3 linked regions of the Diceros bicornis minor genome follow. The protein of the gene in region 1 interacts with the protein of each later gene in a biochemical or structural test. Links are inferred from orthologs where the notes say so. Each region holds a gene or a part of one and is shown in the gene's direction. Other genes may lie near its edges.

What was found.
Region 2: of the proteins of MTOR (region 1) and RPS6KB1, one has a biochemical effect on the other in vitro, tested with the Homo sapiens proteins (18 studies listed by BioGRID and IntAct, with this or other methods). The link is inferred for Diceros bicornis minor from reciprocal best matches to the Homo sapiens genes MTOR and RPS6KB1.
Region 3: of the proteins of MTOR (region 1) and EIF4EBP1, one has a biochemical effect on the other in vitro, tested with the Homo sapiens proteins (29 studies listed by BioGRID and IntAct, with this or other methods). The link is inferred for Diceros bicornis minor from reciprocal best matches to the Homo sapiens genes MTOR and EIF4EBP1.

What each region holds. Positions count from the first base shown.
Region 1 is NC_080752.1:30,490,953-30,494,699, reverse strand, and holds the start of MTOR (serine/threonine-protein kinase mTOR), read left to right. Parts: upstream 1-754; 5' UTR 755-837; intron 838-1,093; exon of another isoform or gene 1,094-1,411; intron 1,412-2,746; 5' UTR 2,747-2,760; coding exon 2,761-2,922; intron 2,923-3,581; coding exon 3,582-3,690; intron 3,691-3,747. UniProt on the Homo sapiens protein: Serine/threonine protein kinase which is a central regulator of cellular metabolism, growth and survival in response to hormones, growth factors, nutrients, energy and stress signals.
Region 2 is NC_080757.1:28,016,908-28,020,654, reverse strand, and holds the start of RPS6KB1 (ribosomal protein S6 kinase beta-1), read left to right. Parts: upstream 1-1,291; 5' UTR 1,292-1,338; coding exon 1,339-1,479; intron 1,480-1,988; exon of another isoform or gene 1,989-2,087; intron 2,088-3,747. Other genes in the region: TUBD1 (tubulin delta chain), read right to left, coding at 1-24, 849-924. UniProt on the Homo sapiens protein: Serine/threonine-protein kinase that acts downstream of mTOR signaling in response to growth factors and nutrients to promote cell proliferation, cell growth and cell cycle progression.
Region 3 is NC_080768.1:34,699,930-34,703,676, forward strand, and holds the start of EIF4EBP1 (eukaryotic translation initiation factor 4E-binding protein 1), read left to right. Parts: upstream 1-1,142; 5' UTR 1,143-1,174; coding exon 1,175-1,319; intron 1,320-3,747. UniProt on the Homo sapiens protein: Repressor of translation initiation that regulates EIF4E activity by preventing its assembly into the eIF4F complex: hypophosphorylated form competes with EIF4G1/EIF4G3 and strongly binds to EIF4E, leading to repress translation.

The sequences.
Region 1 (3,747 bases):
GACTCCAATTGTGAGATATTTAGGAATTTTCAATGTTTATTATAATAAACAGAATGTATTTAAAAACTGAGATGTCAAATTCCATTTTTAAAACTGATTTTTTGAAGGGATGTTTTAACAACCATGCTGCTTGAAAATTATTTACGAGTGGCTCATTTAGTTCAAACTTGGCTATGGTTTCTCGCGAATGATCTTGTGAGCTAGATAATTTTGGAAAAGTGGGAAAATCTAATTAAAAGCGCTTTCAAATGCATATTACACTTAACAAAAGAGAAATCACGGGTACATAAGTTGAGCTAGTCCGAAAACTTTAGGTCTTTTGCTCCAGCAGCTACCGGGCACCGGCTTCGTTCACACTCTGGTCTCAGAATTAAACCGGGCGGGGTCACGCACCTTCGCCCACCCCTCGCGGTCCCATCTCACCGCACCACACAGCGGACTCCGCGCGGCTACAGCCCCAGTGCCGAGGGGAATTATAGTAGCGACGCACCGGATGTGTGCGTGGAAGCCCCCGAAGTCAACTCACGACCGATTGGTCCTCCCGAGCGAACCTAAACCTCCTTTCTCCTGCCACTGGTCGCGTGGTTTGTCTATTTGAACAGTCCCCGCCCCCTGGGGAAGCCGGGTCCCGAAGCCCCACTGCTCCTTCATTACTATTGGTCTGTGTTCCAGTCCATCTTCTCTTACGCCTGTCGATTGGTCCTTAGCAATAGGAGCCCGCCCTCACTCCCGCCCCGGCTTAGAGGACAGCGGGCCAGGCGGGTGGTGGGGCCGGGGGCCTGAAGTGGCGGTACCGGCGCTGGCGGCGGCAGCTGAGGCCTTGGCCGAAGCCGCGCGGTGAGTCTGGGGCCTGGCACCGACCCCTCCACGGCGGCGGAATGTCCTGACCCTCGGCCGGCGTGGTCCGTGGGGGGGCCCCGGGAAGTCGCCTGTCTGGGACGTGGGGTCCCCTCAGTACCGGCCCCACGGACTTGGGCGCCGCCTGAGCTCTTGACCCCCGCCCCGCGAGGCCACGCCCACCTCCTCCCGGACCCCGAGGAGAGCCCCGCACCCTGCAGCCTGCCGTGGTCTCTGGCGCCGCGTAGACCGGCCCATCGGCTCCGGACCTGCCGGGACGCCTTGGGGTCTCCGTGCCCGTCAGCCACCCCTTGTTCTGAGCCGCCTACAGATGTCCTCAGAGAGGACCAGCGTCAGTGTCGGCCCCGCGCAGTGCGCCCCGGAGCCTCTCGAGGACCCAGTCCCGGGGTTGAGCTGGTTCCGCTGGGTTCGTCCTCGCCGTCTGCCCGCCCCCATCCCTCATCTCAGCCGCCCAGTGAGCCCTCGCCAAGACCCCTGGGGTGTTGGGCTCCCAGTATTTTCATCGAATTCTGTCTGGAGCAGATGGCCGGTGGGCCTCAGACCTTGTAAAGAGGTACTGGGTCTTTCCTGAGAATGGAAATTCCTCACCAGCCTCCCCCCATCACGGACACCCCACCCTCGCTCCATAGTTGTGTTCTCATCAGGGATCCTTGGGTTTCCTCTTCCCGAAGAATGACATTTCCTTCTGCAGTTTTTGTCTTGGCACCAGAGTATTTAAAAGCTTTTCAAAACCAGTTCTTCCCTGTTTTTTCCTCTGCATCTCACAAATTATTCCAAAAATAAGAATTTTGAAAAATTGGTTTTCTAGTATAATCTGAACATTCTTGGGTCAGGTGTGCGTTTTACTTCCATAGCAGTCTCGGCTGAGCCCTGTTATGTCCACTTTATTGTGGTTGCCTGATTATTTATGTTTCCCTCTAGATCCTGAGCTCATTGAGGGAAGGTACATAACTGAGGAATGAATGCGTGATCTCAGGAACTGATCAGTCTGTTTTAGCTCACATTCCCAGTACTAGTATTCTGTAGAACTGCACTGTCCAGTACAGGAACCACCAGTCACATGTGGCTTAGCGCACTTGAAATGTGACTAGTCCAAACCGAGATTGCCGTAACTGTAAAACGCACACGAGATTTTGGAGACTCAGAACAAAAAAAGAATGGAAAATATATCAATGATTCTTTTATACTGATGACACGTTGAATATTCTATATATGAGATTAAATAAAATGTATTAATTACACCTGTTTTTTTACCTTTTTTGATATGGCTACTAGAAAGTTTAAAATTACATTTGTGACTCGTATTATATTTCTGTTGGACAGTGCTGCTACAGAATAATAACGTTTCCCTCTTTAAGTTGAACTCCTTGAGGAAAGCGGCAGTCTTAGACAGATTTTATTCTCTCTCGACCTCCCTACCTCTAGTACCTGGCGCTGTGCCACGTACGTAGTAGTAATAATGATAATAATAGCTAACAATTACGGTTACACTGTGGCACTGTTTTAAGCACTTTTCAACATGTATTAACTCGTTTAATCCTCACAGCAACTCGATGAGTTGGGTGCTATTATCCTCCTATTGCAGTTGAAGAAACTGAGATGTTTTAAGTATCTTCTTCAAGGTATATAACTTTGAACTGGATTCAGACTCAGTCCGGCTCCACAGCCCACAGTTTGACCCTCTCTGCTACCCTGCCTCTTTTACACAGCAGTCATTGTTAAATGAATTGAGGCTTTCTACACGTTCCTCAGTGAGGTCTCCCAACCTGTTTTAGGATCCCCTACCTGATGGGCTGGGTGGAAATTTGTGTTCAGGAACTGGGGCCATAAATAAATTCATCACCATAGTTTGTTATCCAGAATATTTAAAGGAAGCTTCTCTCCATAGAACCTCAGGGCAAGATGCTGGGAACCGGGCCTGCCGCCGCCACCACAGCTGCCACCACCTCTAGCAACGTGAGCGTTCTGCAGCAGTTCGCCAGTGGCCTGAGGAGCCGGAATGAGGAGACCAGGGCCAAAGCTGCCAAGGAGCTCCAGCACTATGTCACCATGGAGCTTCGAGAGGTCGGGGCTTCTGTCATTTGGGCCAATCGTCATGGAGTGTTTGGGCTAAATGTACCATCACTGGTTTAGATTCCTTTTGACAGCTAAGTAAGGATTCGGAAAATGTAGAGGTTCTGTTTTAGAAAGGCACCCGATTTCTCATGTCCAAAGAATGTGCAGTTTCCTTTGCAGTGGTTACACATTTCCGTGGCCTTTCTTGTGTTGTGACATTTTAGGAGTCAGCATAGAGTCAGCTGTTTTTTTAAATTTTTTTCTTTTTCCCATCACATTCTAGACCCTCAGTTCTTTCTGCCTGATAACAGTGGTTGGGATGGGTTTGAAGAGGTGATAGCTTAGGGCTTTCTAAATAGAGACCAGACTTGAAGTCAGGGACAATGTCTTGTTCATCCTTGTACCCCTGGTACTAGGTAGAACCTAGGACAGGACGTGGCCTGCCATGGAGTAAATACTCAATATGTATTTGTTAAACAGGTGAGTTGTGAGTTCACTTGCTCTACAGTTTAAAAGTATGGAGTTGGGCAGTAGCTTTGTCGTCTTTGTTTTGAAATGTACCTGCTGGCCACTTCTCAGGTCTGAATCTTTGGAAATCCCCCTGCCACCCCCCACCACCACCATAAGGAAGACATTAGAAATTGTTCTGAGTATATCTTCCTTTGCAGATGAGTCAAGAGGAGTCAACTCGCTTCTATGATCAGCTGAACCATCACATTTTTGAACTGGTTTCCAGCTCAGATGCCAATGAGAGGAAAGGTGGCATCTTGGCCATAGGTAAGGACAGAGTCTCTGATGACAGTAACAACTAGGAATAAAGTGCTCACCTTTGTG
Region 2 (3,747 bases), on another chromosome or scaffold:
TGTTTCCTGAAAAAAGTGAGCAACCTGTAATAGAAAAATATAGGTTCTGAGAACCACTACATTACTAAAAAATAACGAACAAATAAAATGCCATATGTGTTAATATACATCAATACAAAAACAATTTTAAAATGCCACATATGTATATGGTGTTATAGATTAAATAGCTACGCTGTCTAAGGAGACAAGCATTCAAGGAATTTGTTCTGTTTCTCTATATGGTTTCGGGATTTGGGTTTACTGTACCCAAATCCAATGATACACAGCTCAATAGTTTCCAAAATCTGATTTGTAATTGCTCTTTTCCTAAGCATGCAGTTAAAACAAAATAAAATAAAATGAATGCTGGTTGAAGGAATTCATAGTATACACTTCACACCACAGGGACACATAGAAGGCAGAAGTTAGCTCAACAATCCCACATTTAATTAACATTAATTTTCTCTCCTCTAAATAATGACTCTCTCTCTCCATCAACCACCTTTCTGGTCTGGTAACTATAGTAACACTTATAACAAAGACTGTGTTTAGCTCAGGTAGGACAGGAAGATGAAACTTGGAAAAAGAAAACCAGATGAAACATTAGAGCAAGTCTTCACTATTTTTAACAATGAAAAGAGACAATTTTTGATAAAGACCTCACACCAGGTCTATGCAGCACTGGAAAGGAGCAGTGGCTTGTGAGCCAATTTTCAAGCAACCCTGCAAAATAGGTATCATTATTCTCATTTTACAGAAAAGGAAACTGAGGCTCTGAAAAATTATGTGACTTTTGTAGGGGCACTGAAATAATAAATAGCAAAGCCAAGACTCTCCCTCTCCCCACTAGCCCCATTAACCCCACTCACTGACAGCCCCAGGACCAGCGGTTTCCGTCCTGTTCAAATGTCGGAGGGCCAACCCTCTCACTATGCGCATGCTCATTTTCAAAACTCAAAAAGCTACGGAGAACGAATGCGCATGTTCCACAAACGAAGAGTTTTGTTGTGTATTTTTTTTCCTATTCAGAAAGGTTAATTACGCATGTTCAAATTCAATTTATCAACTTCAGACATGGTACGCATGCTCACTGTCTATCAAAGATTTAGCAGAAAATGCGCATGATCTAGCTCCCAAGAGAGGCTTCGGCTGGGGTTCTGCGCATGTTTCCGCCAGTACCTGGCTCCTGGCGATAATTCTACGCATGTTCATTGCCCACAGTTCGGCTTCACAGAGCCCTGTACGCATGCTCTAGCGCTGAACTTGAGGAGCCAGTCTAGGGCCTAGGCGCAGACGCATTGAGCCCAAGCAGCCGGTGATGGCGGCAGCGGCGGCGGTGGCTGCGGCGGGTCCGGGCCCATGAGGCGACGACGGAGGCGGGACGGCTTTTACCCAGCGCCGGACTTCCGAGACAGGGAAGCTGAGGACATGGCAGGAGTGTTCGACATAGACCTGGACCAGCCAGAGGACGCAGGCTCTGAGGATGAGCTGGAGGAGGGGGTGAGGCCCGGGGTCCCGGGGGGCCCGAGGTGACAGGGCCAGGGCGGCAGCGCGGGCCCTGGAAGCCGGGCGCGTCCAAGAGCGTGGAGACCCCGGGGGGCGCCAGTAGTCTCCAGGAGGAGCTGAGGCGCCGCGCGGCCCGAGGCAGGGGAGCGGGCGGGGCGGACCTGGCCCTAGGTGTGAGGCCGCTGAGGGGCTCGCAGGTGCAGGTCGCGCCCCTAGCCCCAGATCAGCGCAGCCTGGAGCAGTCTGTCTGTGGAGGGAACGAGAAAGGGCGTGTGTTGCATTTCCCGAGCTGTTGGACTGGAGTGTGGCGGGGCGCGAGTGGTGTAAGCATGTGTTGGGGGGAGGGGGACTGCGCTTGCTGGGTGTCCCGTAAGTGCAGGTGAAGTGCGGAAGGGTTTCCCTTGGAGTATAAGATTTCAAGTATTAAATCTTCAGACCTCCCACAACCACCTCTCTTCTCGGCCTGTCGCTTCTCTCCTAGGAAGCGCTCAGCTGTTAGAAGTGACAGCTGAAAACTTCTGTCGGGAGTAGCGCTGCCGCTGCTGTTACAGCCACCAGGAGTTTTATTTCGGGAGCAAGGGGGCTCTGCTGCATCTTCCAGGGTTTGTTTGTTTGCTTTTGTTTTTTTTTTTAACCCCCTTCCGTGTGACTTTTTTAAAAAAACGCATTTATAACGACACACGGCATTTGTAATTTACTTTTCCCCTAGTTGAAGATGTCTACGTTTTTTCAAAATACTTTATGTAATTTTGGGGTGCAAAAAAAACAGCGTTGACAGCTGTGATTTGACTTGCCAAAAATAAATTGCTTGAATTGAGACTTGTGAATGGTGGTGTGAGGGCTTTCCTTGCTTTAATTTAGGGTGCCAAATTTAGAATTGTTTTTCCTAATGCATAGCTTGGTTTTACCTTTGCTGTCTTAGTAGTCTGTTATTCTTTACGGAATGTCTTTTGTCAAGATAAATTTATTGAAAAATCACAGTTGCACCTGACGTTAAAAAATGGTGTTGTCATACTAAATCACTGATTCTGGGTAAATGATCATCAATGATAACCTCATGGTAATTTAGATTCCGTTGTCTAGATGAGTGCATGGGTTAATGACTGATGTCAGAAATTTGCTTTTAACTACATAAGAAGCTTCCCTTTTTTTCCTTCATTTGATTTTCCTCCTCTGGCAAGTAAGTTGTACTCTGCTTGTTGACAAAAGATTGAGATGCTATGTTTAAAGAACTTGGAACACTTTAAGAAACTAAGTGGGCTAAAATAATACTGTTCTTTTCATAATCAAATGAATCTAAATCAAAATCACACAGTTTGGAAGTTGGGTATGAGATGTGTACTTTTTAATAATGTTTGCTGTGGAATTCCAGTTAGCCTCTGAATTGAACATGGGATACACTAAAGATAGAAACAAACGTGAGATTACTTTCATTACATATAGCTTACTCTCATCAGTTATATTGGTTCCATATGGCAGTGGCTTTGGAGCAGGGCAGGGGAGAAAACTGGATAGGAAGGATGTTTTATAAAATCTTCATCAGTTGAACTAGTAGAATTTCCAGATCATGGGTTTATTAGAAGTTAAAGGAGTTGGAAGTAAAATACCATATTAAGATTTGTTATGAACTGGGACCTCGTTGGTGTGTGTTTTGGCCTACTCCTGGACAGTTTGTTTTGCTGGGTACAAGGAAATAGAATCTTGAGAAAATGTGGAGATGAGGCCAGAGAAATTGGTGGAAATAGGAAAGAGAAAGAAATGTGGCTACTACCCTGGGGGGAAGAACTTTGGGGAAAGAGCAAAGATAAAAGAGGATTTTAAGGAAGAGCCTTCAGCAAAATATATCTTACTTAGCAATGCTTTTGGAGTTGAAAATATTTCTTTGGGTGTGTCATTCTAAGAGGTGCCTCAAGGTAGACAAGCGGAAAGAGTTGGAGTGGGATTGGTTTGGCCACTCAAGGAGATTCAGTGACATCCAGTTTTCTCTAAGTTAAATTTAAAAATTCTGAAAAATGAGAGAAGTTTAGATTCTCGGAAAATCTAGCTATTGTGAATTTATAAATAAAGTTAATATTCTATTTGTGAGTTTATAACCTTTAGTGCACAAACTTTTAAAACATTGCTGCGTACCAGAGTAGCCTCACTTTTTCATTTTATAGTAAGGAAAGTGAGGCATTGGCCAGAGAGATGAGTGCCCAAGACCGCATAGATAACTAGTAATGTGTCTTCTGACTCAATTCAGCAAGCTTCATTGCACAGCTT
Region 3 (3,747 bases), on another chromosome or scaffold:
CGCTCATCAAGCCATGCTGAGGCGGCATCCCACATAGAAGAGCTACAACTCCACAACTGTGATACACAACTATGTAATGGGGCTTTGGGGAGAAAAAAGAAAGAGGAAGATTGGCAACAGATGTTAGCACAGGGTCAATCTCCCTCAAAAAAACAAAACAAAACAAACCCCTTGTTTGACCACTGAGCTTTAAAAAATAATAACAAACGACCTCTCACAATCCGGCCCCAATTTCCCTTTTAAACTGTTCTCCTCTCTCCTCCCCCTTCCAAGATGTGGCCGCATTGTTCTCTCACCCGACCCGGCTTTTCCATCCTCCGTGCATTTTTTCTCTCTCCACTCGGTGATCTCCTTGAAGATTCATTCAGTCATTCATTTGTCCCTTCATTCATTCAAGGTGTGCCTACTAAACAGTCAGGCAGCGTGGGGGGCGTTGGACCCAACTCAAAGGACTACAAGGAACCTTCTTTGACCGAGTCTTACCCCTCCCCCAACCCCACCTCCACCTCGGCTCTAGGGTTAGCCCTTATCACCCAACTGGGTGGCTTGTCCGCGTGTCCTCCTCACTCTCTCCGAAGGCGTGGAAGGTGCGTTCTTCGCCTTTTCTTCAAAGCCTGCCACATCGTGAGTGTTCAATGAACCGATGAGGGGGTGAAAGACCAACCAATCCCTGCCTTTTCATCTGAGGAATGAATAGGGAAGAACGGAACAGGGAGGGTTGAGGGGACCATCCACCCTGATGTCCTAATGTAGAAACTAGGTCTTCCCAGAGTGGGCCAGGTCGGCTAGGATCGCCGCACAGCCCTGGACGCTCCCCAGCTCAGCGAGGCATTAACCTAGGCCGGCCTCCCGACCCCCCACCTCACCCCGCCCCTGCCAGCGTGGCGGGGAGGGAGCCGGGAGCGAAAGGGACAAGCAATGGGGGGTGGCGCTGGCACCCGCGGGCAGGAGACCCTCAGTAGGGGCCCTCCGACCCAGGGCTGCGGAGGAACCCACGAGCAACAGCTGCGTGGACCTGGGTGGGACAGCCGCGGCGGGAACTACAAATCCCAGGGGGCGTCGAGCCCAAGAAGCGGAAGGGGAGGGTTTGGGCGGGGCGGGCTGGAGCTGGGAGGAGCGGGGCGGGAGCCGCGGCAGGGACACGCTCCGGCTGCGGGCGCGGTGCGCGGTGACCATGTCCCGGGGCAGCAGTTGCAGCCAGACCCCAAGCCGGGCCATCCCCGCCACTCGCCGGGTGGTCCTCGGCGACGGCGTGCAGCTGCCGCCTGGGGACTACAGCACCACCCCCGGCGGCACGCTCTTCAGCACCACCCCGGGAGGTAGGCGCGGGCTCGGCTGCGGGCTGTGGGAGGACGGAGCGGGCAGAGCGGGAGGGATCGGGAATCGCCAATTGGACGGGGCGGCCAGGCTCTGGGGGCGCGGTGACTGGGAAGGGGCATCAAGGAGGCAGCGAGGGTCACGGAGCGAGCGGGTGGCCGCCTCCCATTGCCTGCCCTCTGAGTGCGTCCTCCAGAACCGGGGCTGCAAACTGCCCCGTTAAATTTCCTCCTTCTGGGAGAGACAGCTGAGCGTCCTCCACCCTAACAGATATTAGGACTGCCACATGCTGAGGTGTGCTGCCCCTTGTGGGTGTTGGGGACAGTTCTGGGGCGGAATAGGGTGGGGTCAGGGCGGCCCACAGATCAAAGAGGGGCCTGGCCTGGGGTTTTTAGGGATGGGATGGGCGTTCTCTTTTGGGATAAATGATTCTTGCAGAGTCCTTTTTCCTTCCCGAGGCCCCCCCTGTTTTGCGTTGGGCACGCACCCCCTGACAGGTTTTGGGCTGAGAGTGGTCGCCTGCTGCAGCCGGCTTCTGTGGCAGATTGCCCATTTACGCATATGGGATCTCCACAGAGGGACCTGGGGCCGCGGGCAGCACTGTGCCGAAAGACACGTTCTTCTGTTCGGGGGGAGGGGGACCGTGTGACCTCCCTGAGAGTGGATGAGGAAGAGGAAGCTGAGCTGGCACGGGTAGGGGCCAGCCTCAGGCTGTCCTCGGGGAGCCAGGCATTCCGTCCCAGCCCGGGAGCCCAGGCGCACAGGCGCTGATGAAACCTGCCCGCCGGTTTGCATGATGAAATCCTCGTGGCTCACCACTTCCCTCCCATCCTAGCGCTGCCCCCACCCCCTTTTGCCCTTTTCTCCTCCCCTACACCCTCCTCCACTGCTCTTGCCCGGGCTACTACTCGAGAAACGCCGCCGATCCTGGCGCTCCGCTGAGAGGCAGGGGTGCGGGCGGACGCGGGCGGGGCGCAGCCTCATCTGCCAGCGTCGGGGGCCACACGCTTGTTTTCTCAGGCAGCTGTCCCACCGCCAGCGAGCGCAGCCAGCTGCGAGGTCTTGGGCTATTTGATCCAAAGCATAGAACGTTAGGACTGTTAGGGATCTTAGATGTTCTCGTCCAACCGTGCTGCCTTTTTTTTGAGGGGGAAGGAGGGAGGGGAGGGGGAGAGTAGGCAGTTTTTCACGTTTTATTGTACTTTATTAAATTTCACCATTAAATAGCATATGTGTATGCTGGTCTTATGACGAGATTTTTGAAATGTAAAGTTATATTAGACATAGAATGTAACAATTAGAAACTCTAGGGGAGGTAAAAATTCTGTCTACAAACATTTACACATTTTAGAGGCACAAGTAAATGATATAGGGACAGGAAGACATTATGTAAAACTTTGGGTTGTAATTGGAGGAAAAACCTGTTCAGGACTGAACTGAGGTCCTTGGTTGCTGACAGAGTCTCCCTTGGATTGAACAAAATCCCTATTAGTCAGGAGAGACAGTAGCAACAGGATAGACTAAGAAATTGGCTCATGTCTATCTGGAAGGTGGGGGCTGGCCAGTCTGAAGAGAGCAGGGCTGGCTGGAGGCTGGAAATCCAGTTGGATGTTGCAGCTCAAGTCTGAGATCTGTAGATTTAAAAGTTTGGAAACAGTCTAGAGGCAGAATGTTAGTGCATCTCTCAAAAATCCTTGTTTTCCAAACAGGCTCCTAGGATGCTTTCCTCAAATGGGGCTGTGCTGCCTTATTCTACAGAACATGGCACTGAGGCCCCAGAGCTTGAAAACACGTGTCCATTGTCCAACGTTACATTGTTTTCCCAGATTGAACAAGAAATAGCAGCCAAGCATTGCGGGGGAAAAATGCTCTCTCTTCTATTAAAAATGATCCAAGGGGGGCCAGCCCTGTGGCATAGTGGTGAAGTTCAGCGTGCACTGCTTTGGCGGCCGGGTTCATGGGTTCAGATCCCAAGCACGGACCTACACCACTCCTCAGCCATGCTGTGGCGGCGTCCTATATATACAAAAAATAGAGGAAGATTGGCACAGATGTTAGCTCAAAGCGAATCTTCCTCAACAACAACAACAAAACGATCCAAGGAGAAGTTCCCAGTGACTCTTCTTGCCCCTTTTGACTCGTTCTCTTTCCCTGCTGGGCCTTTTGTAGTCCACGCTGTTCTGCTTTCTCTGTGTCATGATGTGTCTTTCAGGACCTTTCCTGACCATTTTAGGGTTCCTTCGAGTGATGTGACTCTCTGCTTGATCTGTGCAGAGTGGGCACTAAGGCAGGCCTGAATGCTCAAGTTAGCCCTTTTTTGCACCCGTTGTTGCTAGATGGGGACGGATCAGATTGGAAGCAAAGCCAGGAGGCTGAGGCCAACCGGAAGAAAGAGCAGTGCCAAGAGCCTAAAGCCAGCTCTTTCTTTTC